7 separate regions of the Mus musculus genome follow, and all the other regions are reported to be linked to region 2. The links are microRNA targets in miRTarBase. Many come from high-throughput screens and were not tested one by one. Region 2 holds a microRNA gene; each other region holds the end of a gene's coding sequence.
The links. The annotated mature microRNA mmu-miR-290a-5p reads ACUCAAACUAUGGGGGCACUUU and lies in region 2 at 2,124-2,145, shown strand. An mRNA with a match to its seed (bases 2 to 7 or 8) in the 3' UTR can be bound and repressed. Matches are read on the target gene's strand: a 7mer-m8 pairs with bases 2 to 8, a 7mer-A1 pairs with bases 2 to 7 and ends in A, and an 8mer does both.

Region 1 (4,129 bases), not on the chromosome of region 2:
ACTAAATCCTTTGCCTCTCATGGTCAACTTCAAAAACATGAAAGAATTCATACTGGAGAGAAACCTTACAAATGTGATCAGTGTGGTAAAGCCTTTGCCTCTCATGATAAATTTCAAAAACATGAAAGAATTCATATTGGAGAGAAACCTTACAAATGTAAGCAATGTACTAAATCCTTTGCCTCTCATGATAAACTTCAAAAACATGAAAGAATTCATACTGGAGAGAAACCTTATGAATGTAAGCAATGTACTAAATCCTTTGCCTCTCATAATAAACTTCAAAAACATGAAAGAATTCATACTGGAGAGAAGCCTTACAAGTGTGATCAATGTAATAAAGCCTTTGTATATGAAAGTTATTTACAAGTTCATAAAAAAACACATACTGGAGAGAAACCTTACAAATGTAATGAATGTGGTAAAGCCTTTGCACGACACAGTCATCTCAAAGTGCATAAAATAACACATACTGGAGAGAAACCTTACAAATGTAATCAATGTGGTAAAGCCCTTGCATATCATAGTACACTCCAAGTACATCAAAGAACACATACTGGAGAGAAGCCCTATGAATGTGAGCAATGTGGCAAAGCCTTTGCAAATCAAAGTTATTTCCAAGTACATAAAAGAATACATACTGGAGAGAAACCCTACAAATGTGATCAATGTGGTAAAGCCTTTGTAGGTTCAAGTGATCTTAAAAGACATGAAAGAGTTCATACTGGGAGAGAAACCTTACAAATGTGATCAATGTGGTAAAGCCTTTTCATACCATTGTCATCCTCGAATGCATAAAAGAACGCATACTAAAGAGTAACCCTATGAATATAACCAATGTGGTAAAGCCTTACAGTGATCTTGAAAGGTGTGGTGGACTAAATATACTTGGCCCATGACAAGTGGCAGTAGTAGGGAGTGTGGCCTTTCTGGCATAGATGTGGTGTTTGAGAAAGTCTGTCACTATATGCTTGGACCTTGAGATCCACACAGGGCAGAAGAGTCTTCTGGCTTCTGATCAAGATGTAGAACTCTTGTCTCCTCCAGCACCATGTCTGCTTGGACACTGCCATTCTTTTCGCCTTGATGATAATAGACTGAACCTCTGAATCTGGACCCAATTAAATGTCCTTTATAAGAGTTGCCTTGGTCATGGTATCTTTTCACAGCAATAAACCCAAATTAAGACAGACAGCATAAAAGATAACACACTGGGGCTGGTAAGAGCAGGTAAGACTCAGCAGGTAAGAGCACTGACTGTTTTACAGAAGGTCCTGAGTTCAAATCCCAGCAACCACATGGTGGCTTACAACCACCCGTAATGAGATCTGACACCCTCTTCTGGTGTATCTGAAGTTAGCTATGGTGTGTACTTATGAATAATAATAAATAAATCTTTAAAAAAAAGATACCGCACTGGAGAGAAACTGACAAGTAGATAGTTCTCTGCATGTTTGATAAGTAACATGTTTTAAATAGTCTCTTTTTCCTTCTCCTCTTCTATTTATCCTCATCTATAGTCTACATCTCCTTTTCCTTTGCATTTTTCCCCCATGAGGACAGTGATGTATTAAGATAGAATCTCACATATATTCCTGAGTTGTCTTGAATTAAAAATCCTCCTACCTCTACCTCTTTAAGGCTCAGATTAAACGTGTATATGTCATGCTTAGGTTTTTCAAACAGAAATCCATGGATGTGGAACCCTGAGCTAGAAAATAACTGTCTAATCTTGGGGAATTGCCAAGGTGATGACAATGTTGAGGAGTAGACCTAGAGAGTACAGTCATGCCTCCATTTCTGTTAGCTCCTGGAAGTGCACTACTATAGGGACATGGAGTAAGCCTAGGCATTAGTTACAAAGCAGCCTGTTTCACTTGAGACAATTAAGAGGCACCAGAATGACCAAGAGGGACTAGAGCTTAAAGCACAGTAAAGGCCTTCTCAAGCCAGACAAGGACTCCAGGAGATGCTCTAACAGATTCAATGATCGTTTGCCAGAGAGGACCAACTGCATTGTATTAGGAGGTGTAAGAGAGGGTTCCAAGATGCTTCCTACTAGCTTCACATAGTGTTTATTTTATTTAAGCACTAGTGTTTATTTAAACCCAAACACTCATTTAATAGAATACTCTGTGTTTAACATTCATGTGATGTACTTTCTAGGCCATCATCCATGTCCAAAGAGCATCAGAACATGGTATCTGCTGCTGATACCTTGAAGCAATTCCAGAAAGATCACTGTATGTGACTATTTTGAAATGTTTAATTCCAAGCTTCTTCACAATTTGGAAGGTTCATAGGAAGAACACATAATGACCAGAGTGCCTTTAGCTATGTTAGTGATGGGCAGGGAAAGAAAAGTCTTGTGGGTTTTCATTAAAGGTTTCCCTCCTGTGTTTACATCATGCAAAGCATGAACCATGATTGGTCTCTGAGGTCTTGCACTGTTTCTCCTTGGTAATGTTGCCTGATGAGCAGGTAATGAATTCTGGTCTTCAATGCACATGCAGAGATCAAGATTTCCTAATTATTCAATGTGTTTTCTTAGAGTCAACATTGTATTGAATATGTAAAACATCTAAACTGATATCTAGTGTAAGGAGGTTGAATCTGGGTTCTGTCTGTGCTGTTACGTTCTACATGCAGTGAGTGTAGTTTAACTCCACTACATTGTTGTGGCTGCTCAATATCACTTATTGACCATCTAACTCCAAAGAAGCACATTATACATTGAAACTATTTTTTCATTATGTTATTTCATGAAATGTGCACTAGCAAACATTAAATTAAAAAGTGTTATTTCTCTGGAGTGTGCTCAGCAATTAATTTTGTATCAGGAAATTAAAGAGAACAGCTTTCACATGCATACATTCACAGTTAACAGTCTGCTAATGATAAATGTTATCAAGTGCAATGATGATTTTTTTTCCTTCTAGTCATCTTGACCTACTACAAATTTGTTCATTATCAGAAATTAAATAAGCAATTAACTAAATTATAGATATAGTGTTACTGGGAAATTATTATTATTATTATTATTATTATTATTATTATTATTATTATTATTATTTTGGTTCTTTTTGAGACAGGGTTTCTCTGTGCAGCCCTGGCTGTCCTGGAACTCACTTTGTAGACCAGGCTGGCCTCAAACTCAGAAATCCACCTGCCTCTGCCTCCCAAGTTCTGGGATTAAAGGCATGTGCCACCACCGTGTGGTTTGGGAAATTATCTTAAGAATAAATATGCACTGGAGAGATGGATCAGAGATTAGAAACACTGACTGTTCTTCCAAGGTCCTGAGTTCAATCCCCAGCAACCATCTGTAATGGAATATGATGCCCTCTCCTGGTGTGTCTAAAGACAGCTACAGTCTACTCACATATATAAAATAAATAGATCCTTAAAATGAAAAGTGGGCTGGAGTGATGGCTCAGAGGTTGAATGCACTGACTGCGCTTCCAGAAGTCCTGAGTTCAAATCCCAGCAACCACATGGTGGTTCACAACTACCTGTACTGTGATCTTGGTGCCCTCTTCTGGCATGCAAGCAGAACACTGTACATAATAAATAAATCTTTAATAATAATAGAAAAGAATAAAAATGCAAAACCCTTGACCAAAAAAGGTAGAACTCTTCTCTCCCCTCCCTAAAAGGTAGGTGAAATTTATTTGAGATGGTAAAAGGCTCTATGCCTGTTTGAAGAAGATGGTATGTTACCTAGATGCTTTAATTAGCACCTAAAATACAGATCACAGTATTCCCTTTTGTGTGGGAGGGCAGTCATACAAAATATGTGTAAATGGGCAAGTTTGCACATCCTATCCTCCAGTCCGAGGACTGATAATATTGGGAATAGGCTACTGAAAATGTGCTGGAAAGACTCACTCAGAAACAATTTTTATTTTAAATCTTTTACTTTTAAAATGTGTTTACATGGGCTGGCAAGATGGCTCAGCAGTTAAGAGCACTAACTGCTCTTCGGAAGGTCCTGAGTTCAAATCCCAGCAACCACATGGTGGCTCACAACCAACCATAATGAGATCTGACACCCTATTCTGGTGCATCTGAAGACAGCTACAGTGTACTAATGAATAATAATAAATATTTTTTAATGTGTTTACATATA
Region 2 (4,129 bases):
CATGTGAGTCCTAAACAGCTGGAGCAGAGGCTATCCCAAAAGCAGTTGCCTGTCCCGGAGTTATGATGGTCAAACTGGGCTGCTTTGTCTGGCCTCAGTGGGAGAGGAAGCACCTAGCCCCACAGACTGGAAGTGCTGGGGGGGGGGGGGCGACTCAGAGGAGAAGACTGGGGTTGGGGGAAGGATTGTAGAAGGAGGTGACCTGGAGGGGGGCAGTGAGTAGGATGTAGGGTGAATACATTTTTAAAAATTAAATTAATTTTTTAAAAATGTTCCATTACACACACACACACACACACACACACACACACACACACACACAAGGTGTAGACTTAGGAGTCCTAAATTATTCTTGGCTATTTAATGAGCTTATGGCCAGCTTGGCGTACTTGAGCCTTGTCTCCAAAAAACAAACAAACAAACAAACAAACCCTAAACTCCAAGTCTGCAATATGCCTCTGTAGCTTTAGCCCTGCCGCCTGGAGACCTAATTTCAATCCATGGAGCTATTTAAAGATATTTAATAAATAATAATAACAACAACAATAATAATAACAAAAGAAAAACAGCCGGGCATGGTGGCACACGCCTTTAATCCCAGCATTTGGGAGGCAGAGGCAGGCGGATTTCTGAGTTCAAGGCCAGCCTGGTCTACAGAGTGAGTTCCAGGACAGCCAGGGCTACACAGAGAAACCCTGTCTTGAACCCCCTCCCCCCCAAAAAAAACATATTTAAGCATAGGAGAAAACTAACTCTATCATATTGTTCTTGGACCTTCATATTCAGTGTGGGAAAGAAAGAAAGAAAGAAAGAAAGAAAGAAAGAAAGAAAGAAAGAAAGAAAGAAAGAAAGAAAGAAAGAAAGAAAGAAAGAAAGAAAGGTAAAAAAGAGGGAGGATTTGAAACTCTGGATTTAAAAAAAATTCAAACGAAAGAATAAACTGAACCTCCCACATTCTTCCTTTATTTATTTTTATTATTATCTTAATACTGAATGTAGCCCTGCCTAGTCCCGTGCCTAGTCACCATAGTAGACCAAGCTGGCCTTGAACTAACAAAGATCCTCCAGCCTCGGCCTAGAAAACTATAGGATTAAAGGCGCTGCTTCTAGAAACAAACAAAGAAATCTGTTTCCTCTGGGGGGTGGGGGGGAGAAGAAACCAGTGAAGGTCACTCTGCCGCAGGGAAACTCAGCTCAGAGGAAGCAGGGTGGTAGAGTAAGGATTCTCCGGGGTGGGGGAGGGGTATCAGAGCCTCCCAGTCCAGGGGGCCAATGAGCCTTCAGACTATATAAGAACCTAGAGCCTCCCCCACGCCTCTCAGAGACTTCTACTCCACATCGGGAATGCTGGTCTCTGCGGTCTTCAGGGATACCTCCGGCGTGCTGCTTCTCACATAGGCAAAGGTAATATTTTTAGTTTCAGATTTTTTATTTCCTTCAGTTCTGTGGTTTTAATCTACCTGGTTTAGAGAGGCGAAAGTAGATCCAGGATTTCCAGAAGAGAGATCTTCCTGCTTCAACTTTGGAGATGACTAGCCAGGCTGGCCTTTAACTCTCATTTCTGCCTGCCTCTCTGCCTCCAGATTAAAGGTCATCACGGCCATCTTCATTCTACTTTTTAAAAACTAGAGCCCCTTTTTTAAAAGGCAGGCTAGCCGCGAACTCAGCCTTCCTCGCTCGCCCCCACGGTTTGGCTGGGTTTACTAATCCCGAGGCAGAGGCAGGCCCATCTGAGGTTGGTCTGGTCTCCAAAGAAGACATTTAGAACTAATGTGTGTGGAAAAAGAGTTGGGCTTTTTTTTCTGACTTGGTCTACATAATTTCAAGGGAGGAACGAGCCTATGTGGGGAAAGTGAGTAGTCTGGGCGCGAGTGAAGTTTGGGGACCAGAAACCAAAGCTAGGAGTTACTGAGGGCAGGTCTAGGGAGTCTATGCAGTACATTTCATTAACTACGTGGTTTCATTGTAGAAATTTTGAGTTTCACTATACCTTGAGTTAGACCGATGTACTAACTCTTCCTTGATTTCATCCAGGTTTCCTTCAGGTTGGAGTGAATTTTAAGTTCTCCACGTTCTTTCCTCCTGGTAAATGTTTTAACGTCTGGACCGCCTCATCTTGCGGTACTCAAACTATGGGGGCACTTTTTTTTTTCTTTAAAAAGTGCCGCCTAGTTTTAAGCCCCGCCGGTTGAGAAAACGGCTATCTGGCACATTTACCAGCCCTGGTGCCACGTGTTCCGGGTTAACTGCAGCGTGGTGAGTACGGATTCGAAGAAAGGAATGAGACTGAGTATAGCGAAAGGCTAGGGATGGGCATCCTGCCCAGTAGACGGTAACTGAGGTGGTCGTTGTAGGGTACCTGGGGGCTCCATGTGCGTCCTGTCGCTGCTTGGAGCTGTTACACCTATGTAGCGGCCATCAAAGTGGAGGCCCTCTCTTGAGCCTGAATGAGAAAGTGCTTCCACTTTGTGTGCCACTGCATGGGGAAAACATCATAGCTTTGCATCTGACGCATCGGTTTACAGGAGCGGACAACCTGTGTGGGGGTTTAGGCTTGGAGTTTAATGGGTCCTATCCTAAAGAGGGCGGTTCAGTTGGGTGCCACGAGACGCGGATGGATGTAAGGCAGTCGTGAGTCCAGGTGCATTGTAGATTGTTCTTAAGCTTGACCTCCAGCCTGTGATACTCAAACTGGGGGCTCTTTTGGATTTTCATCGGAAGAAAAGTGCCGCCAGGTTTTGAGTGTCACCGGTTGAGAACTCAAAACGGCTAAGAACTAAGAATTAAGTTTTAGTGGGTCATGTTTTCACTGGGGTTGCATTTCTGGGCAGGTGGGTGTCACATGTGGGTTTGAGTCCGAACACTTGGGCGCATGCGGTACTAAAGGCTTTCCGCGTTCATAAAGGAGCCGGGATCCCACATGGGCCTCGCTCGGAGGAGCTGAGCCTCAGGTCTTGGAAGTTGGAACATACAGTGTCGATCAAAGTGGAGGCCCTCTCCGCGGCTTGGCGGGAAAGTGCATCCATTTTGTTTGTCTCTGTGTGTACATGGCGTCTGAAAAGCCGGCTGCAGCTGCAACCTGGAATCGCTTACCTGCTTGAAACAGGTATGTGTGCTGGAGGTGAATTCGTTGCCACTGGCTACTCGAGCTGCAAGGCTGGAGGTGAGGAGGAAGCAGGGCAGGGTGGAAGGAGGCACTCCAGGTCCAGGGGTGGTGAGTCTAAGCCTCAGGTCTGAGTAAAGAAAGGCCTACTTTTAAATCTCACGTGGCCGCCATATTAAGTCCTCTTTCAATTTTTTTCCTTTTTCTCCAAACAGGGTTTCTCTGTAGCCCTGGCTGTCCTGGAGCTAACTCACTTGTAGACCAGCCTGGCCTCAGCTCCATCCACCTGGGATTAAAAGATCCTATATATCTTGCTTGACTACTGTAGTTGCTATATCTTGCTTGACTACTGTAGTTGGACTGATGGTTGTGAGTCTTGATATGGTTGGATTGAATTTTTAGGACCTGCTGGCTGTAGCTGACTTTAACCTGGCTCCTAGCACAAACAAGCTTGGTGGACAGCCGGGTAGATAATACCCATAATACCTTTTGGCTTTACAATAGCCCAGGCTCATGAGGGCTGGGATTACAGGTGTTACATTGTGTGCCCTAAGCATAATCTTCATGGATTCTCTTTGTTTTTCAGGTGTTCCAGTTGAGTTGAATGTAATCCTGCCTAGCCTGGGGTACTTACTTGCCTTCAACCTGCCTGGCTGGCTGGTCTGGCTAAGAACTGACTATAAAGTTTCAGGTTTATTACCACAGCAGGTCCCTGTGGAAATGCTTCAATCTGTGGTACTCAAACTGTGTGACATTTTGTTCTTTGTAAGAAGTGCCGCAGAGTTTGTAGTGTTGCCGATTGAGAAACTGCAGTTGGCCTAAGTGTTGCATCATTTGGGTGTCATCTGTGGGTATGATTCAGTCTGTAATGGGGCAAAAGTAAAAGCTGAGGTGCACGGAACCTCACGGGAAGTGACCCAGATTTGACAGGTACTGTATTACATATAGCTGCATTTATCCTTTTGGCATTGAATAATCCTTAATCTTCAGTTCAGTTGTAGGCATGTTTGGATCTAGCGAAATTCC
Region 3 (4,129 bases), not on the chromosome of region 2:
TGTAGGTTTGCAGAGGGTAGGCCTGTGGGGAGAGATGCTCTGGGTGGGTGAGGAAAAGATGAGGAAGGACACAGATGCTCTGGCTCCTTAGACACCTCTCAAGGGTAAACTGTGGCATCTGAAGGTACTGTCTTACAGTTTCTTCATCCAGATGTCAGGATGTAGAAGGAGACATGAGGTCCACTCCCTGAACTCAGACAGTCTTAACATGGAATTAGCAAGGGGCAGTGACATAGCTGTGTGTGATGCCTCACCTGCCTTCAAGAGCTAAGTTCTGTCCTCAGTGAAGGGACCTGTCACTTCATGTGCATGAAGGTTTGGGACTATGAGAGCATGGGGGTCTACCGTTCGCTTCGAGGGAGAGGGAAGGCAGGGGCTTGTGCTAGAGCCCAGCTCCCTCCAGCAGTAAAACTGAAGACTGTTCAAGGACACTGGAGCCTAGGGGTGGATTGTAAGCCATGGAACCATGTGGTCAGCTCTATTAGAGCGGCCACCATGTGTGAAGGTTTGGCCTGCGGTAAGTGAAGCTGGATGCCTGGAAAACATTCTGAGAAGTGAGGAGAAAACAAAGATTGCGGGATCAGAGAGAATTAGGGATGTGGTTAAGAGGGTTTGGTTAAGGGAAGTTCCTGCTTTATAAAGTGTGCCATTTTGTCTCTAGAGACGCCAAGAATATGGCCAAGGACGTGAACGACACCCTCATAGGAATCATAAGCAATGAAGCTGGTGTTGACAAACTAGAAGCAATGAAGACGCTGGCAACGTTAAAGCAAGAGAAACGATATCTGCAGGACATCTGGTCCTAAACTGGAACAGAGACGCTTGGAATTTGTTTTTGTTTTTGTTTGTTTGTTTGTTTTTTCTTGAAGTGCCAAAGGTCAATTTTACAGAAGATGAGTTTAAAAATGTTTGGACATTTCTTGGAGGTGGCTGTGTGGGGAACGGCTTGCTTACAGGTACAGCAGGTACAACCGCCTGACAGTCTCACAGGTTGTATCCCACTCCTTACCTGTGGCCCCACCCAGCACATCACTACGTGGAGGGGAAAGAGGCAGCTCCCACCTGGCACCCATTGCACATAGGCTCCCCAGGAGGACAGATCATCATCCACGGCTCACCTGTGCCTGGGCACATCTTGGAGAGCTTGTGGACATACTATCTTTCAATGAAGTATATTCAAAGGATATTTATATTGGTGATATTTAAATTAACACAGACATGCAAAGCATTCTTTTGCATGTCTTTATTTAATTGTGGTTTTATTATCAAAATTATATTTCTGATAAAATATTTTAATTTTGAGGTAATCCTTACAAAATGAAGGTTTTCATGCAACTAGAAATATATTTTGAAATATATTTGATATAGTACTCTGCCATTTTCATCATGTTAACTTTCAGTGTCACCATCTTACAGCTTAGGGGCATTTGCATTCCCCTGACAAAGGTATCATGTGTACAGCTCAGTAGTGTGCCCTGTCCTTCTCATGGACTCCATTCATGTCTGCTCCTCACTAACAGACTTGGGTTTTCCCAATACCTGACTATACTTTTGTGATTCAGTTCAGCTTAAAGAACGCCAGTTAGGCCGGGCGTGGTGGCGCACGTCTTTAATCCCAGCACTTGGGAGGCAGGCAGAGATAGGCGGATTTCTGAGTTTGAGGCCAGCCTGGTCTACAGAGTGAGTTCGAGGACAACCAGGGCTACACAGAGAAACCCTGTCTCGAAAACCAAAAACAAAAAAAAAGAACTCCAGTTAAGACTTCTAATACCAAATTCTCTTGCAAGTTATGAAAATAAAGTATATAAAAGGATCCTGTGCTATTGTGTGCGTGGTTGCTGAGACAAAAACTGGGACAAAGCAACTTACAGAGGGTATTTTAGCTCAGTTCAGGTGTGGGGTCCACAGTGCTGAGGAAATCATAGTGGCAGAAGGAGGAGGTGACTGGTTACATCCCGTCCAGTCAGGAAGGAAAAGAAAAGGAAAAGTGCCTCGCTGGCTTCCTCCTTTTCACACACTCCAATACTTTAATGCATGGAACAGGTCTGCCTATGTGTAGTGTGGGTGTCCACTTCAGCCTAGTGTAGAGGACCTCTCGAAGACATGCCCAGGGGTTTTTTTCCAGTGAGGTTGTAGACCCTGCAAACCTAACTGTAACATAGCCTTCACAAGCATGATAAACCCTCCCTGTTGTGTATAGTAACGGTCTCATTTTATAGTCCACCTTTAAAACACATCTCTACCTGGTGAAAAGTCATCACAAGACTCCTAGGTCATTATAAGAATTAAAGATTTGAAAGAGTAATATAATATCAAGCTTGGTGAGGCTTTGTGGCTTTTTGTTCTACTCTTCCCATCTTGCATATTCTCTCCTCACTATTACATGTATTATGTGCAATAAATAAGATAGGGGTTAGGAAAACACTCAAATCCCGACATTTGTAAGTTGTATGCATCAGCCACAGTAGACTGGAGCAACACATGGACAAAGAACAGTGTTCCTCAGTTACAAGTGCCGACCTGCCCCTGCCCTCTTGACACATGACCACAGACAACAGATCCAAAAGGCAATACTAGTGGCTGTTGAGAACAATCAAGACTAGGTTTCTGACAGGACATCCATGCTTTCGATTTGGGCTCCTATCACAGTTGGTGATAATGAAATGCAGTCACTCCGATCCTTATTAAAACTATGAATAGTGAGGGATGAAATTTCCATCAACCTGCTGTGTGAGCACAAGGAAACTCCAAACTGGCTGGAGACAACCCACCTGTAAGAAGTTTGTTCCCGTGTGAGAGCCTTCTGGAGTTGGGATTGGGCTGTTTGTATGAACCTGTATGAGTCTGTAGACAGTGCTATTGTAAAGGTCAGCAGTCAGCACATCCCCAGGTCTTGCTAGATTGTCTTAGCTTTTGTTTAGGTAGGGGTAAGGCATGCAGTAAACTGTTGGATGCAGCTTCCACTTTTCAGCTATCACTGGCGTTGGTGAGGGACCTTTCTAACCTGTTACTCCTGCAATCTCAGCTCAAACTGGGTCCAGTGCATCCTGGAGACTCGTTGAGCTCTGTGCTGACACCAGCACAGGCTTTGGTGTTTGTTTACACTGTATTCAAGAGGTTTATTGTGGCTCTTGTAACAGAGACTGAATGGAAAGAGCCTTAAGCTTCTGGTGATACTCCAGTCTCAGCCTCCCTAGCAATGGGATGGCAGGTATGTGCCACCAAATCTGGCCTAGTTTTCAGTCTTTATATAAAACGTAATCATCAAAAGCAATTCAAGTGGCAGATTGTTCACCAGGCATCCCAGATTACTGCTGAGAGTCATGAAAAGGCTACATCAGGCAGACCAAAACAAGTCACATTTAGCTGGGGTAAAAGAAGGTGCCTCAAAGGGAAAAATCCTACCAGAGATATTTTCCCTAGAATTTATGAATCAGTGAGCGAGAACATGACTTCTTAATATGTGTGCAGTTAGTAAAGTTTCACAATAGTTAAAGCAAACGTTCACAGCTAGAAGCATGCAAGATGTCAACACATATTCCACAAATGCATAAAAGAAATTAGAAAAATGATCTTAAATTAATGTTCTTATATTAAAATGAAATTTTAGATGAATATACATTCTGTGAAAAATGCAACATACCAAAACATAAGAAAATGATAGGACCCTGTGAGCCATCGTGTGTTTGCTGGGAATTGAACTCAGGACCTCTGGAAGAGCAGCCAGTGCTCTTAACCACTGAGGCACCTCTCCAGCCCCCACATTATTTCTGATCAGAGTCAAACTGTAATTGAACTGTAGGGCATTGTTTTGGTGAGAGCAATTTTGAAATTTTTTTGTTAAAGTTGAGTCATATTCAGTGAAACATTCCTCGAGCTAAGGACCAGGGTTTGCACTGGGGAAGATATTAAGCCAGGTGTGTCACATGGGGGTGAGGACGACACTGAGGCCAGGAAGTCCTAGGCTTAAAGCACGGGGGGAGGGGGGTAGACACAGAAATGTAAAATGAATGCCCCGAAATCCATTCAGGAAATCCAGGTTTTACTCTTATTTAAGGTTCTTTATGTTGCAAGTCATAAATTTATAGTCATAAGCAGGTATTCAAAAATCCAACCCTCCATTTGGCTG
Region 4 (4,129 bases), not on the chromosome of region 2:
GCGTGCACCACCAAACCCAGCACCCCTATTTCTTAATAGGAAATTAAGGCTGGGATAGGTACAGTAAGTAGCTGAGTTACAATCTGAACCCAGGCCAGTTGGGTTTGGGCCCATGTACTTACACCAGAACTTTACCTTACCGCCTCATCTTTCAAGTAGAAGAAAAAACCCTCACTGATTTAACTGAAAACTACCCTTTGAACCATACCATGTTCCTGTGGTGCCAGGATTGAAAACCTGGCCTCACACATGCCAGGAAAGCAGTCAACCACTGAGCTGCAACCCTTGGCTCATAAATACCAACCTACCAGTGTTCATGTTTAAGCACACGGATCTGTATGCCTCAGCAGGTAAAGGTGCTTGTCACACACATCGGATGACCTGAGTTTTCCCAAGAGCCCATGTAAACATGCAAGGAGAGAACAGACTCTATGCAGTTGCCTCCTAAGCTCCACCCATGTGGCATGCTATTTAAGACCAACACATACACACCCACGCACAATATGAAAGATTTACATCTAAAACCATAACATACTTAATAGAAGTGAAAAACTTACATCTAAAACCACAAAGTTACCCTGTGAAGTGTGCATCTTCTGCCACTTCCACCTCAACAGTCTGAGAAAACTCATCTTTTGCATTTCTGAAATTCCTTGTTTTTGTTGTTTCTTTGGGATGGGGTAGATGGCTCCGCATCTAAAAGCACTGGCTTCTCTTCCTGGGGACCCAGGTTCAATTCTCAGCACCCATAGAGTTCACAAACACCTGCAAATCAAAGATCTAACACCTTCATACAGACATACATGCAGGCAAAACACCAAGATGCATAAGATAAAAATAAAAAATAGTTTAAAAATAAGAGAATTGGGCTGGGCGGTGGTGGCGCATGCCTTTAATCCCAGCACTCGGGAGGCAGAGGCAGGGAGATTTCTGAGTTCGAGGCCAGCCTGGTCTACAGAGTGAGTTCCAGGACAGCCGGGGCTATACGAAAACCCTGTCTCGAAACACACACACACACACACACACACACACACACACACCCGCAAAAAAAGAGAATTGGCCTTATTCTGGTACTTGTAAATGTTCCTCTAAAATAGTATTTTCACTAACACATTTTTATGTAGATTGTTTTTGAAACAGGACCAATCTCTTATAGCCCAGGTTGTAGCCTTGAACACTTTGAAACTGAGGACAACCTTGAACTCCTGATCCTCCTGCTTCCATCTCCTAAATATGGGAGTTACAGGGATGCTAACTTCCATGTCTGGCCTGTAATCTTCACTGTACGTATGACTTCTATGGTGGCTAAGGTGACAGTGTGTATGATTCCCAACAGCTTGTCATTAACAGTTGCTTAGAATTTTGCCAGAAATCCTCCACACCTCATGCATTTCAGTAGAATCCTCTCCCACGTGCAGTCTGGGTCAGACAATATGTGATGGTAGATGCAGCAGAGCTCAGGTGCTAACATAACAGGCCATTGCAGCCCATTTGGGCCCGTACCAATCCTGTCACTGCGTGACACGAATATATGTCTAAGGACAAATAATATTTAAGCTGAAAGACCAACCAGGGGATGTGAAATGTCTATCTATACCTTGGGCAAGGGACCAGACCAGGAATCACCAGGACGCCCAAGCATGCCAAGGCAAAAAAAAAAGTGAAAATCAAGTTGCTGTCTGGGGAAGCAATGAAAGCAGAGCAAGCAGCAGGGCTGAGTCCTCAGAGCACTGCTTCAAATCCTACTTATCTGAGACACTCATGGGAAGGTGAGGAAAAGAGGGGAAAGTGTGTCCTAAGACCATCTTGGCCATACTTGCAGGGCTACAGTAACTTAGCCCCAGCAGCTCAGGCCAGTGTCTCGTAGAATTAAAGGTTAGGATCCAGTTCAGATTCAGAAACCAACCAATCCTTAATTCCTGGATATTTTCCTGGGCATTTTTCCTCGTGCTGTGGCACACCGAGCACTGCCCACTTCCCTGCAAGCCAAGCTTGTCTCCCTTAACACTGTGCCTGCCAGCCAGGGCCTACCAAGAAAGAGGTATCATATCGGCATCTTCCACTCAACTAAGCACTCCTGCAGGCCCGCATGTCCATGCATCCTCAAGGCCTCAAGTAGGATGAAATGTTCTTACCAAGCCTGCCCTTCCAGACAAGCACACTCTGTTCCAAGTTTGCAGACCAATCAAAAAGAAATGGCTATGGCCATTCGTCAGGAGCAAGCACATTTCCAGGAGGGAGTAAGAAGCAAACACTTCAGCCAGGCGTGGTGGCCCACACTTTTAATCCCAGTACTCAGAAGGCAGAGGCAGGCGGATTTCTGAGTTCGAGGCCAGCCTGGTCTACAAAGTGAGTTCCAGGCAGCCAGGGCTACACAGAGAAACCCTGTCTCAAAAAACTAAAAAAAAAAAAAAAAAAAAGCAAACACCTCAAGCAACAGCCATTTCAGCACAGGACGCCATCTACGAGAAAGGCCTGTGTATGTACTTCCTGTTCTCTCAAGCCTTCCTCCTACAGTAACTTTACTGTTGGTGACTGCAGTGTTTTCAGCACTAGCTTCCCATTTATAAATGTACTTTACATAACAAATACTTAAATATTTCACTGACTTTTCCTTAATTTTATAAATTATAGATTTCTAAAATCATAATTTTCGGCATTTTGGTAATACGAGGTGTTGGGTGTCTTCTTTTAACAATGTTGTCACTAATACCTCCTACTGTGCTGAAGCTTGCTCAGGTACTCATAGCTCCTTAACTGATAAACCCTGACGTCTGGTTCCTTCCCCAGACACCACTGAGGCCCACTTGCTATAAATAAAGCCCTGGAGACATTCTACATTGGAGTCTACTTGGGTTTTCACTGACAGCCACTCACTCACTGAGCTCAGCTTCATCAAATTTGTTTGCAGATTAGGAAACTGAGGCAGACAACTCAATGAATGATCCAGTTCTCACATTAGGTGCTGCTGAAGAAAGCTGAAAGAGTCAACCTTGTATTCACACAGCACTACTATCATACTGGGTCCACTGACCTTAGCAGCCAGGGACTCAATTGCTTTATTACCTCTGTACATACAAAGAAGCTTGGCAGTGAGTGGCCCGGGAGCCAATATACAGACCCATCTACATTCCAGGGCCTGTTCCTGCTCCAGACTCATCTTGTTGAGAAGGCATGACAGGGGATAGACACCCAGAGCAGAGAGTCCTCAGACACTCAAACACAGTATGAGGCCAACAGACCAAAGTACATTTCCAGGGGCTGCAGATGTGCTGCAGACTGCAGTCTGAGGTGGAGAGGCAGGGCAAAAGGAGGTTTGGAGCACTGACTGGGAGATAGGGTGGTGGCAGCATTTCAGGCTTGAGGGTTGATGGGCAATGGGCTCACTTGAGGCGATAGAGCACCTTGCGCTGCATACGGTGTTGGATCTCACCCCTGCGTAGCATGAGCTGCAGCACCTTTCGGATAGCGTGCTCTGGATATTTCTGTAGGAGGGAGCACAAGACAGATGCACAGGTATATCATTATGACCCAAGGGACCTGATGCATCACCGGATCATAGACAATTTTAAACAGACAAAAAATATCCACCTCCATTCTCCCTTGACTTCAGAAAAGTGTGTATGTGATGATGCCTCTTGTGTACTAGGTAAGTACATATATCGACTTTATGCACCTAGTATTAGGAATAATCTCATTTTACAGAGGAAGAAATAGGCACAGGCTGTCACTTGTTTGGGTCATATAGCAATTAAGTGAGCTAGGACTTAAGTCCCTGTGACCCTAGAAGTCAAGCTTTCTCCAGCCCCAGCCTCAGGCAAGACTAGTCTCTTCACTTATAGAGGGCCAGTATCTGTTACTGTATAATTTACTTCCAGGAGCAAACGGAGAGGATACACAGGGAAGGGAACGAGAAACAGAAACCAGGGCTATCCTCATGATTTTAAAGGGCACAGGCTCCTACTGGTACCCCAAACAGTACCTCCTGTGCATGTTATCAGTAGCCCTCTTCCCAATGGGCTGCAAGGCTAACTCATCTGTTTCTGGTCCTCCCTACCATGTAAGGATCTAAACAAGGGAAAACCTAAGAGATGGGAAAATTGGGTATTGGTTTCTACAGACCTGTCTT
Region 5 (4,129 bases), not on the chromosome of region 2:
ATAACAAATAAATGTAGAAAAGAAGACTTTACTCAAAAACAAAAATATCATCCTATCAAATGAAAGAAAATGTTTTTAATAGACTATTCTTATTTGGGCATTTTCAGTGAGTGTCCTTGTGGCCCATCGTTGGTCCGATTTGGAGGTAAAGCAAGAGAGTATTCACCAAGAGCAAGAATTCGTTCCTGGATGGGGTAAGTGTCAGTGTAGAACTGCTGTTGATATTCCTTAAGCCATGGTTAGCATTCCTATCACCTAAAACAGTGTAGGAAAAGCAATTCCATCTTCCACATCTCCAGTATCCAGCCTATGTTTCTTTCATATCCTTGAGTTTACTCATAGATGGGCAGAATTATAAAGGTTGGGTTGCTGGTTTCATGCTTCACTCTGGAAGGATTGAATTGTTCTTTTTTTTTGGTGTCTTCAGAACTGTCTTTTTACTCCTCTTGTGCTCTTTGTCTTGCCTTACTCCTCCCTTGTCTTATAGTGTAATAGGACTATTAAGTACATTTGATTTCTCCAGCTTTCTACCTAGCCTGGCCTGGCCCTCTTTACCATGAACCTATTCCTTTATAGACATGGATTCATCATAGTTCTTAATCACCATATTCTCTAAACACCATGGACTGATTGACTAAGGCTCATCTCCTCTGCTAGATATTTGCAAATGAGTATGTGCTGTTTTTCACTCTGTCTTTCTGCTACCACCAAGACAGACAGAATACAGACCTGCATTTTAGCAAACTGTTTTCATTACAGGTATGAATTGCCTTTTGACCGCCATGACTGGATCATCAATCGTTGTGGCACAGAAGTTAGATATGTGATTGATTACTATGATGGTGGTGAGGTGAACAAGGAGTACCAGTTCACTATCCTGGATGTGCGTCCTGCCTTTGATTCATTCTCTGCAGTATGGGACAGAATGAAGGTTGCTTGGTGGCGCTGGACTTCGTAACTGTTATTTTGTTTGTTATGAAAAAAGTGAAACTTTTTTCCTGAGAAAGCTGTTAAAACTATTTTCCCCAAACTAAATGCACTCATAATGTCATTGAGGGTACTTTTCGAGTGAGTGATCATATTTGATCTTGTATTTAACAAAGATGCCATGCTCCTTTAAATTTTGAATCACATTTTCCATTGCAGATGATAGGTCAGTTTAATTTTTTTCCCTATTTGGTATAAGTTCCTTAGTTTTCCCACTAAGTCCAGTATTTCATGTTATTTTCTTTAGACATCTTAACAATCTCTGAAAAAGAGGTTTTAAAAGCATAAAAAGTTGTTTTTATTCTTACTGTTTCCTCAGGAGTATTTGAGATATAAAACCTGAAAGTGTGTGATGCTTTTACCTGCCAAATAATTTAACTATATTCATTATAAATAAGAAGCACTTGTTCTTGTTTTAAAAGTAACTAATATTTCTAAAATCCCTTTGGTCTGAACAAAATATACAAGTATATACCGAATGAAGTCTGCAAGACTGATATGTCTATGTTTAAATGTGATTTCAGATTTGACCCTGATAGAAATTTCAACTTGATACATAAAAATTTCAAAATACTTGTTTTTTCAATTCTGTCCCAATATGTAACTATCAATGAAAAGCTGATCACACCATCCCTAGAAGATGACAAATTATCTTATCTCATCCCATTCCCTCTTCCTACTTGGAGCTTGCCACCAGTCGTGTAATGTAAACCTTGAGAGCCGGGCTCCAATCACAGTGCCAGAAGTGTTTCTTTGACGAATAAGATTATATTTGGCTAAGTGTTAGAATTCACAAGAAGTGCATTTTTTTTCAGATATGAAATGTTTGCACCAATTCACCATCATTTTGATGTTTTAAGCATGTGCTGAGTTTGCTGTTGAAAACTGGTTGTTTTGCTGGGCAGTAGTAGCACAAGCCTTTAACCCCAGCATTCCATAGATCTCTGAGTTTGAGACTAGCCTGGTCTACAGAGTGAGTTCCATGACAGCCAGAAAAATCCTCTCTCTAAAAAAACAAAAGAAAAAGAAAAGAAAACTGGTTGTTTTTATTTTAATTATAGCAACACCTTAGAAATAGCTTTTTCTTAAATGTTGATAATATGAAAAATATTTAATTTATCTTAAATACTGTAACATTTAGTGGACAGAATTTGTGTTTTTGAGTTATTTGACGTAGATTTCTTTGTTGTATGATGCTTTAAAAATCTAACATGTGAAAATATTTGTATTTTTTAAATAAAGCTGACAGTTAAAAGGTTCTGAAACTTCTTAGAGTGATTTTTGTAGTTACTTAATTTTTGAGATAAAAATTTATCTTTACTAAATGCAGCAGTGGTCTCATCTGTTAATCACATAATTTTAAACTGCATAAGAATGTAATCTCTTTTGGCCCTTCTCAGGTCACAACTGGATTAGGACTGGAAAGTAAATTAAAGTGTATAGTGACAGGGTATTGTGAAAGTCAACTGTCGTATAAACTCAATTATTAAGATCAACAATTTTTCCTATGCCCTTTCACCACTTCTAGAAAAGATACCTGCTGAGTACTGAGTTGCTTTGTGGCTAGGTTACTGAGTACTCAGGATTGCTTCGTGGCTCGATTCTACTTCAGTCTGCCTAGGGAGTAAAACTTCACTGCTCTGATGGCTTTTATATAAGTTGAAATGCATTCTGGATCACCTCCCACATTTTAAACTTAAGTTTTATCTGTGGAGATGACGTCATTCAGAATCAGTTTTGGCAGTAAAGGTATGTGCAAACTGAGTTACATGTTAGCTCTTAGTATTTCTCTGAACTCATTAGCTGTCATTTGTGAGATGCTGATGTTCACTTTGCATCATACTCAGGACAGAAGATGGCCAACGATCATCCCCTGCCTACAGAAACACAACCTTTCAGAGCTCAGTCCGTAAACAAAATTACAGTACTGTAGAATTCATATTTTAAAAACTCTAAGGTAATGATGGGGGGTAGGGATACATATAAGTACATTTCAATATAACTACTGTGATTAGTCAGGTTGACAGGATTCAAATGACATGGGAAGTGGAACTTGGTGTGCCTGTGGGGGACGATCTTGATTACTTTTAACTGAGGTGGGACTATTCAGCCACCTTGGGCTGCACCATTCATATCCTGTACTACATAATTGAAGAAAGTGAGCTGAACACTGGAAACCAAGTATGCACCTCTCTGTTTCTGGACTGTGGGCATAAGGTAACTGGCTGCTTCAGGCTCTTACTGCTTTGACTTCCCCACCAGGATGAATGGCCTTGAACTGTGAGCCAAAACCCTTTCTCAAGTTGCTTTATCAGGCTATTTTATCACAACAGGAAAGGAAACCGACATTTGCCAATATTTTTGGTCCCTGATATGTTCACCCTCTAGTGGAGTTATTGCTCCCCATTGAAAGTGAAGTGCTCTGTATTTATTTCCTTTCTTGTCCTTGTCATGACTGTCAAGCCATGTTCAATCATTGCTATTGCTAAAGGTTTGAGGCGCTTTGTGATTAAGAGGGCATACCCTGAAGACTGGTGGTTTGTTCCAGTTTTTGCTTTACTTGCTCAGTGACATTTTTCTTCTGGGCCTCTGATTTCATGGTTGTAAAATGAGAAAATGAGCAGACAGTTGGTTTACAAGTTCTGTGAAGTGATCTGTGTGCTTTTGGGGCAGACTCCTGGGTAGAAAAAGCTTAACAGCCATCCACACGGTTGACAGTGGCCGTCACAGAGAGATTGTGAAGCAAGGCTAGAAGTCAGAAGTGCTGAGACATTCCACAGGACGAGTCTGGAAAGATCAGGAGGTTCTTCTGATTTGTGTCAATTTTAAGTATTACTGGGTACTCAAAGTATTACAATAGATGCTAAGCAACCTCATGTTATCTTTAAAAAGGCTAAGGGGAATAAAGGATGCGTAGACATAAATTGATAGTTAATATGCAAGTCCTACCTGACAAAGGTAATTAAGTGCCTGGATTTCCTAATCTAAAACATTAAGCAGTGCACGACACAGAAACCAGCTTCATAAATAGAATTTAGGTAAAGCCCATTAGCCATCAAGAATGTTGTCATGAAGCTGGCAACAACTGGAGAGGGGATCAGAAATTCAAGTTCTTTCACCGCTCTCCAGGGTTTTCTTAAAC
Region 6 (4,129 bases), not on the chromosome of region 2:
GGACAGACTGCGGGCGGACGAATCTGGGAGCAGAAAGGACAGCAAGCGACAGGACCCCAAGGTACACCCTAGGAAAGATGGGAACTCCCATTCTGTAGAAAGGCAGAAGCATTCTTGGGGGAAAGACAACAGCCCTGACGCCCTGTCCTCCTGGGAGGAGCTGCTGAGGCGCAAGTACCGACCCCCTCAGGGCTGTTCAGGTGTGGCCGACTGTGCCCGGCAGGAGGGCCTGGCCCTCTTTGGTGTGGAGCTGGCCCCTGTGCGGCAGCAGGAGCTGGCCTCTGTGCTGAGAGAATACTTGTCTCGGCTGCCCTGGGCCGGGCAGCTGACCAAACAGCTGCCCCTCTCACCTGCTTACTTTGGAGAAGATGGCATCTTCAGGCATGACCGGCTTCGCTTCAGAGATTTTGTGGATGCCTTGGAGGACAGCCTGGAGGAGGTGGCACTGAAACAGACAGGCGACGATGATGAAGTGGATGACTTTGAGGACTTTGTCTTCGGCCACTTCTTTGGGGACAAGGCCCTGAAGAAGAGGTGGGAATTGGGGATGGGCGTGGGAGAGAGTAGCCGAGGGATTTGAAGGCGTTGGGCCCTGAATGAAGAGGTCTGTAGCTTGAGTCTCTCTCTTCATTTCTGATCCCCTGGCCTTACAAAAAGAAGGCTTCTGGGTACACATCCTATCTTCCCATGAGGGGCTGCAGTGGTCCTGAGGGGTCCCCCTTTGAGCCAGGACCCCCTCCCCACCTTGCCTGTACATAGAGGGCCCCTTGTCTCCCCCAATGGATTCATCCTGGAGCCCAGGTTCCTCCCTTGCTTGGTGGCAGTCACCTGAGCTGGCCTCCACCAGAAGAACAGGGCTCCTTCTCCTTAGGGTCTTATCTCAGTATGTGGCATTGTTTCCTAAAGGCCATTTCCTGCTTCCTTCCCTGTCTCCCCCATAGGTCACGAAAGAAGGAGAAGCACTCCTGGAACCCCAGAGTTGTGGGGCCCAGGGAAGAGCACAGCCGCCATCCGCACCACTACCACCAAGGCTGAGCCCTGTCCTGCTGCAACAGCCGGCCTTGGCATGCACCCAGCTCAAGATGCCTGGAGTTATGTGACCCTAGCAGCTATGCTCCCACTGTCCAGCGGGCCCCTCCTGGCTCGTTGGTGCCCTTGAATGACCTTCACAGAAGAGAGCAACGCACTTGGCCCTGCACTGGTACCACTTTTGCTAAAAAAAAAAAAAAAAAAGAAGAAGAAGAAAAAAAAAAAGGCCATAGTTGGCGCTGCTGAACTGTCTAAGCAGACATATGCAAAGATAAAGGCCCTGGGTACTAAGTGACATGTAGGGGCCTGCTGGGAGCCTGCTGGGGAGGACTCTTATTCTGAAGTCAGAGAGCTGTCATTTTTTTGTGGCTATCCTGGGTCCACAGCAGAGCCTATCACCCTGTGCTAGAGCTGCTGGTTAGAGACTTAGCTCCAGACTTGCCTTGGGGTTTAGCTAGCTGTGGAGACAGCTATCCCTAAGCCTGAGGAGTCCTCACCATGCCTCTTGCGGCTTTCACCTCCCCACCTGAGCTGTCCCACCATGGCGGGGCTCTGTCACTTGAGGTGGTCCCTAAATGCAAGGAACACCTTGCAGTCACCACGCTGGTGTTTAGGCACAATCTAGGCACTGCACTCGGCCTTCCCATCCATTCCCCATGTGCGCCCACCTTCCCCAAGGAGCCTAGCCTTGAGTCCAGCCACCAATTGTCTCACAGTCCAGGTGGGGTGGCCTCAAGCCAGGTCATTCTCCGCAGTGTGGTGTGGTGTTCTTATCCTCAGAAAGAGAGCTGAAGGGAATGGAGTCAGTGAAGCAAGGAAGCAGACATTCTGTTTCTGCCACACAAGAATCGATCCCTTTTTTGGAGCGTGCTGTGGAGGACAGGGAACACGCTAACCTGGGTCTGCAGAGGTGAGGGAGCCACTAGGTGGCGCTCTGGCTTCACATTTCTCTAGACTTCTCCCTCCTGCCCCTGGTCACCACCCCACACCCCAGACACCCTACCCATTGACTAGCTCTCAAGAATTCCCAGAATCCCCCTGGTTATTCTTCAGGAACGCCCCGCCCCCTCAGTTCAAACCTCTACGCCATTGGTAGCACACTGGGCTTCTAGCTCTGGAACTCTCCCAGGGACTCTAGGGGGCAGTGACCACACAGGTCAGGTCAATTAAGGAGGGGATTAAGGACTGTAAGCTTACTGGGCAATGGTGATGCACGCCTTTAATCCCAGCCCTTGGGAGGCAGAGGCAGGCTGATTTCTGAGTTTGAGGCCAGCCTGATCTACAAAGTGAGTTCCAGGATAGCCAGGGAAACAAAACAGGACTGTAGGCTCTAGAAAGTGCTGGAATCGATTTTGAATTATTTAGCAATGCTTTTATGTCACTGTTAAAAGGCTTTTAAGTGCAGTGGCTTGTTTAATTTCCGTGCTAGACAAGACAGGTAGAAAGGGTGGCTCATTCCACAAATGTTTAAACAGTCTGCTGTGTGGTGCTGGAGGGATGGCTCAGCCGCTGAGGGCACAGGCTGCTCTTCCAGAAGCCCCAGGTTTGATTCCCAGCACCCACATGGTAGCTCACAAATGTCTGCAACTTCAGTCTCCAGGGATCTGATGTTCTCTTCTGGCCCTGTAGGCACCAGGCACACACACACACGGTACACAAACATACACGCAAAAACAAAAAAAGATCACCCATCACCACATTTCTTGAAAATAAAAGTCTATTGTGTATGAGAACCAGGTAGTGAGGCCCTAGGCCTGTAGACCCTTTAATATGCATGGAATCTGCAGCAGCAGGAGCTCTGGTTAGACTTAAGGCACATTACCTTACACAGGTCAGTGTTGTAGGCTGGGGGCTCCAGGAAGGAGCCGTCTGGTTTAGAAAGACAATTATATTCCCTGTCTCTCTGGACCAGTGTCCCTCAGAAGGAAGGCAGGTTTAACCCTGCTTTTGCTGCTCACTCAAGGGTCCTCAGAGATCGATCTGTTTATACAGATGTGGTGACCTTGGTGGCTGGGTGAAAGCTCAAGGCCGGAGGCAGGTAGGCTGGCATGTTGGGGTGCTGGGTCTGGAGATGGGGATTCACAGGCCTGCCTTGGTTTCCTAGATGGTGTTGGTACAGGGCTCTCTGGCCTCTGGTTTCCATGTCAAGAGCTCATGTTGGATAATAAATTTTGGAGTCTCAGAGTTCCTCTAGCCTGGTTCTTCTCTTCTCACACCCTCAGGGCTTTATCAGTGGAACTGCATCTGCAACTACCAAGCTAGGAAGGACAGGAGAGCCATTAACCCAAGGGGCATGCTGGGGAGGGCCAGGGAACCAGGTACATTGGGGCCCCATGGGGGAAGGGCCTCATACCCACCATGGCCTTGAGGTCCCTCTCTCTCTCACTCGCACAACCTATAGTGACACTGAAGAGTGACCACAGGCGCTCCTCTGACGGTGGGGCCAGTGCGTGGGATGGAGTGTGAGAAGGGCTGGAGGCAGTGCCCTGTGGTTGCTTGAGGGCTGGAGGACAGCACCGCAGGGCAAAGTGATTCTAGGAGCAGAGATGCTTGTTGCTGCGCTGGGCCCTGCTGGCTCTTTAGGGTCTGTGCTGGGACTCGTCTAGTTGAAGCTCGTGGTGTTTGCGGTGACTTTCCATCCTTTCTCTGGGGGCTGCTGCCCTCAGAGTGTCCCTGGGAGCTTTGTGAGGGTGTCGCTGGAGTGGAGGGTAGTCAGGCCTTACCTCTCTTCCTCTCAGATATCGATATCTCCTCCTCCTCCTCCACCCCTTCTCTTATTCTCCTGCCTCCCTTCTCTCACCCATACCTCTCTCCTGTCCTGTTTCTTTTTCCCTCCCCTTCTCTTTAGCGTCAGACCCAGGACGCCCTGTGTGGCAGGCAAAGGTTTTACTGCCAGCGGCACCTCTTACCATTTTTGTTTGGAGACAGGATATTACTGTATATCCCTGCCTGACCTCAGACTTTCAATCCTCCTGCCTCTGGGGCCCGAGAGGCTGGGACTACAGTCCTGTACCGCCACACCCTTTGCAGGGCCTTCTACGTTTAAGTGGAAAACATCATTCTGTTAGCCAGTCCCCAAAACTGCTTTCCCGGGGGCCAT
Region 7 (4,129 bases), not on the chromosome of region 2:
AAGTGTGTACGTGTATATGTGTGTATGTGTGCATGTATGTATAAGGACATTTCTCATTTGTCCCTTTCTCAACCTTATCCTCTCTTGTTCTCAAATCTCCTCAATTTAGATCTCTTCCTCAGCACTCATAATTCTATAATTACTGATTTCATGTCCTTGTGAGCACACACTCGAGCACACACACATGTAATATTCACATGTGTGTGTGTAAATATGAGCCGTAAGAGAAAATGTACAATCCTTGTCTTGAGTCTCAGTTGGATCCATTTTCCTGCAAATGGCATCCTTTCACTCTTCACTTCAACAAAATTCCAGCATGTACATGTGCCTTTCTTTATGTCCAGTTTTGTTATCCTTTGATCTATTGACATCTCATACTTGTTGTGAATGGTGCAGCTGCCCCCACAGCCATTTTAACTGTGTGTGTTGTGCATTTGCCTATTTGTTCTGGTGTGAAATCTTTCCCGGTGAAATCTGATGAGTCTCAAGTATTGTTGAACGGTATCCAGGCTTTTCATTATCTGCCAAGGCTGTGTAAAAAGGCTGAGTTGTGTATAAAGTATACAGTCAACCCTCTCCTGCCCTTTTCTTTTCTCTAGCCTACGTGTTGGACGACATCAACCTTTGTGGCTACTTTGCGTATTCACTTAGTGATCGCTCAGCTCCCAAGTCTGGCTTTTATCGATATGCTGCGAATCAGTTTGAGCCCAAACCATCTATGAAACATTACAGGAAAATTATTGACAGCAATGGCTTCCTGGGTTCTGGAACACTGGGAAGGTTTTGTCCAGAAGAATACACTGTGTGCACCGAATGTGGATTTTTTCAAACCCGGAAGTCTTTGCTGGTCTTCATCTCGTTTCTTGTTTTTACTTTTATTATTTCTCTTGCTCTCATTTTTCACTACTCCAAGAAAGGCCAGAGAAGTTATAAGTAATGTGAACGTCTGCCTGGCCATTCGCTTTGGGATCAAGATGTACACGCCGTCAGCCGTTTGCACCTCTCTGTGTTGTGAGCCGCATTCCACACATTTCGATTCTAGAAAACCCTTTTTGTCATGGGTGGTAGAGGTTTTAAACAGGAATTGGTGAGAATAAAATATTGCAGGGTGAATGGTATCTGAATCTGCTCTCTTTGGTGGCAATTACGGAATTATACTCACCACAGTTTCTACAGTGCCCCGGAATGGAAGGCATAGAATACGGTAGGGATAACAGTGCCAAGCAGACAGAAGTTTAAAGAACAACTTTAGGGACTTGTTTATCCATGGCCATTTTTAAATTCACTCCTGTTGGGGAGTAACACTCTCTCAATTACCATCTTAACACCTGGACTTTACCTGATCCAGTTTTACAAGGTGAAGTAGAAAAATATCCAGTAAAGGTGGCCAAGAGCCCTGAGTCCAGAGCAGCCCATTAAGAAGCACTATTCCTACCAAATGCTGCTAATGTCAATTTACAAATATACTTAGAAAGCACATTATGGACATTTGTATTCTTGTGAATGTTTTTGAGGTGTGCCCTAAACCCCAGATCCTTGAGGGCTTTCTCTTACCAACTTTCCTTTCAGAGCCTGCTTGTTGGAGATTCTTCCCCAGCCCCCTTCCCCTTTCCCTCTTGCTCTGCCCCACCTCGCTCCACCCAGCTTGCTCCAGCCCAAAGATTCTTTATTTGTTTCTCATTACCGAAGGTTGTGAGCCACCATGTGGTTTCTGGGATTTGAACTCATGACCTCCGGAGGAGCTGTCATGCTCTTAACCAGCCCATGTTGAAGATTCTTTTGATAAATATTCACAAAAAATAAAGATGAGCCATGAGCTGTTGGCCTCTTCGGAAGCGGAAACTGAGTGATTTGATTGAACATCCTTTTATCTTTGACCAGACCTTGGAATGAATGCAATGACCTTTCCCACAGGAAGAAGGAGGAGCTCTCAGTCAAACTGTAAAGAATGCCTCTTCAGAATATGCTGTCAGTGCTTGGATGCCATGATGTTCAACTTTCTTAGTCGATCCGGCAGCAATCACAGTGTGAGCACACTGGGAACCTGTCCTTGCGGCCGCCGAGATCTACCGTGTGCTTCTGTGAAGAGGCTTTGACGTAGCCCCTCTTTGAGCTCTTACACCATGCTACTGACTTCTAGAAAGGCTAATTAGGTCTTCTTCTACACCTAATACCCTAAGTCTTACTGACTCTCACGGGAGAAGTCTCTGTGCTACACCTGAGTGGTCTTATTGATAACCCTGATACCAGATCAGGCAAGATAAATCCGTCATAGCAGGCATGGCTACCCTTGCTGCCACAGGGTCACAGCACATAGCTCATCACCCTGTTATTCTTCATCTTGCAATGTGGTATGGTTTTCCTGGTGAATGATCAGCTTTTGCTGTGGTATTCTTTATACATCTGGACTTATTATTGAAATCAAATGCTATAGAATCAATAGTTTATTTTATGTCTATTTTTCTTGATCGCAGAGTAATATATATTAATTGTAAAAAATTTAAGAAACAAAAACTATATGTAAAGAAAAAATTATAATATAATACAGAGATGCTGCTGACAGTTCCTATGTGTTGTGTTTTGTATACTGAGATCATGTGATACGTAGGCATACATCTTCTTGGGTTTTTTTGTTTTTGTTTTTTGTTTTGTTTTGTTTTGTTTTGGTTTTTTGAGATAGGGTTTCTCTGTATAGCCCTGGCTGTCCTGGAACTCACTTTGCAGACCAGGCTAGCCTCAAACTCTTATTCATTTTTACTGAAGTAATTTTTCTGTCATTAGTCTTCAAGAGCAAAACTTTAATAGTTATGGAGAATATTGCCAGAACAGCTCAAAACTGTTTTATTTGTTGGTCCAATTTCCCATTAATTAGTTCAATAATAAATATCATTTAGAAATAACTTTCTTGCTGAATCATTTACTCTTCTTACTCCGGGAATGTAAAGAAAAGTAATTCTGTTTCTTGAGAAAGCATTATAACCAATCTTTGTGCATCTTTACCTTCTACCATAATTATGTGTCTGTGGATTGGTAGTGATTTTTTTTTAATAGTAGGGATGGTAGTTTGAACTTATAATCTAGTACATGGAAGGCTGAGACAGGGGTATAACTGGGAGGTCAAGGCCAGCCAGGGCTATAGACTCTGTTTTTTAAGTAGCAAAGTATTCTCACATTTGCTAAGGTGACCAGAGCAATAGGGCCGTTCAGATGGCCACAGGAGCTGAGAGACACGAGAGAACAACACAGACAAAAAGCCAAAGAGAACAGTACGAGAATGGCAAAATGCTAGGAAGAGAAGAACCAGACACCGGGAAGCCCACCAGCTCAATGAGCATCATGGGAACTTCATGTTCAGTAGAACTTCAGAGACCTCCAGCCATTGGCTAGACAGAAGAGGCGGGGCTTCTTGTGCCAGACTCGGGGACTGGGGTAGGCAGAGAGGGTCTAGGGGGAGGGGCTTTTGGCTAGTGGGGTTGCCTTTGTTGTCTACTATAATGACTGAGTACGTTCAACTAGACAACTCATAAAGAATGGAAGTTTATTTAGGTCAAAGATCTGGCCCAGACCTGTTGCTGTACAAGCCGGTGGGGATTATCACATGGCAAGACAGAGCAAGCTCGTCAGCACTTGCTTCCTTATGGAGCCACCATCTTCTTCATGGGGACCCCATCTTCCTGACCTCATCTAATTCAAAAGATCTCTGGAGACCAAATCTCATTAATGTATCTTTGGAGATTAAGAGTCCAATATGTAAATTCCCAGGGAGACCCTCAACACCAAGATAAACCAATCCGCCTCTCCCTTCTACAGTTCCTCTATAACCTATAGAGTAATTCACATCTAGTTCCCAACTAGGCTAAACAATTGGTGGAACGTATCCTCTAAAGACCTATATGTGGATTGTTGCTTTTCTCATAGCTGTGATCAAATACCTGACCAGAAATAACTTGGGGGTGGGGCAGGTTTATTCTAGCTTAAGATTCAAGGAGATAGGGTCCATCAAAGCAGGTGAAACGTGACAGCAACTGCTTCAGTCAGGCAACAGAGAGAGGACAAGAATAGGATGAGGCTTTCCAGACTCAAGGCTTGCCCCTAGTAACTCACTTCAACCTCCTAACTCGACCAAAAC

Region 1: miRTarBase lists Zfp932 as a target of mmu-miR-290a-5p. Seed matches in the 3' UTR shown: 8mer at 946-953.
Region 3: miRTarBase lists Mtrr as a target of mmu-miR-290a-5p. Seed matches in the 3' UTR shown: 7mer-m8 at 1,656-1,662.
Region 4: the mRNA of Mcm5 is a reported target of mmu-miR-290a-5p. Seed matches in the 3' UTR shown: 7mer-m8 at 3,216-3,222 and 7mer-A1 at 2,389-2,395.
Region 5: the mRNA of Hccs is a reported target of mmu-miR-290a-5p. Seed matches in the 3' UTR shown: 7mer-A1 at 1,312-1,318 and 8mer at 1,936-1,943.
Region 6: the mRNA of Pbxip1 is a reported target of mmu-miR-290a-5p. Seed matches in the 3' UTR shown: 7mer-m8 at 2,291-2,297.
Region 7: miRTarBase lists Kl as a target of mmu-miR-290a-5p. Seed matches in the 3' UTR shown: 7mer-A1 at 2,671-2,677.

Annotation. Positions count from the first base shown.
Region 1 is chr5:110,009,269-110,013,397 of GRCm38, forward strand. Zfp932 (zinc finger protein 932) reads left to right here. Exons shown (of 4, transcript NM_145563.2): 4 at 1-1,143. The coding sequence ends at 750. Among named protein-coding and RNA genes, the nearest start is that of Zfp932, 15 kb to the left of the region's middle.
Region 2 is chr7:3,216,516-3,220,644 of GRCm38, forward strand. Mir290a (microRNA 290a) reads left to right here and starts at 2,111; the gene lies at 2,111-2,193. Mir290b (microRNA 290b) reads right to left here and starts at 2,180; the gene lies at 2,123-2,180. It overlaps D7Ertd143e (DNA segment, Chr 7, ERATO Doi 143, expressed), which reads left to right and starts at 2,269. Exons shown (of 1, transcript NR_028425.1): 1 at 2,269-4,129. It overlaps Mir291a (microRNA 291a), which reads left to right and starts at 2,404; the gene lies at 2,404-2,485. It also overlaps Mir292, Mir292b, Mir291b, Mir293, Mir294 and a transcript of Nlrp12 not described here.
Region 3 is chr13:68,558,965-68,563,093 of GRCm38, reverse strand. Mtrr (5-methyltetrahydrofolate-homocysteine methyltransferase reductase) reads left to right here. Exons shown (of 15, transcript NM_172480.3): 15 at 662-2,314. The coding sequence ends at 806. Among named protein-coding and RNA genes, the nearest start is that of Mtrr, 21 kb to the left of the region's middle.
Region 4 is chr8:75,126,579-75,130,707 of GRCm38, reverse strand. Mcm5 (minichromosome maintenance complex component 5) reads right to left here. Exons shown (of 17, transcript NM_008566.3): 17 at 2,269-3,485. The coding sequence ends at 3,384. Among named protein-coding and RNA genes, the nearest start is that of Mcm5, 19 kb to the right of the region's middle.
Region 5 is chrX:169,309,653-169,313,781 of GRCm38, reverse strand. Hccs (holocytochrome c synthetase) reads left to right here. Exons shown (of 7, transcript NM_001331049.1): 6 at 108-194; 7 at 760-2,252. The coding sequence ends at 958. Among named protein-coding and RNA genes, the nearest start is that of Hccs, 8.7 kb to the left of the region's middle.
Region 6 is chr3:89,447,732-89,451,860 of GRCm38, forward strand. It overlaps Pbxip1 (pre B cell leukemia transcription factor interacting protein 1), which reads left to right. Exons shown (of 11, transcript NM_146131.2): 10 at 1-534; 11 at 942-3,221. The coding sequence ends at 1,035. Among named protein-coding and RNA genes, the nearest start is that of Pmvk, 9.3 kb to the right of the region's middle.
Region 7 is chr5:150,990,918-150,995,046 of GRCm38, forward strand. It overlaps Kl (klotho), which reads left to right. Exons shown (of 5, transcript NM_013823.2): 5 at 600-2,900. The coding sequence ends at 937. Among named protein-coding and RNA genes, the nearest start is that of Kl, 40 kb to the left of the region's middle.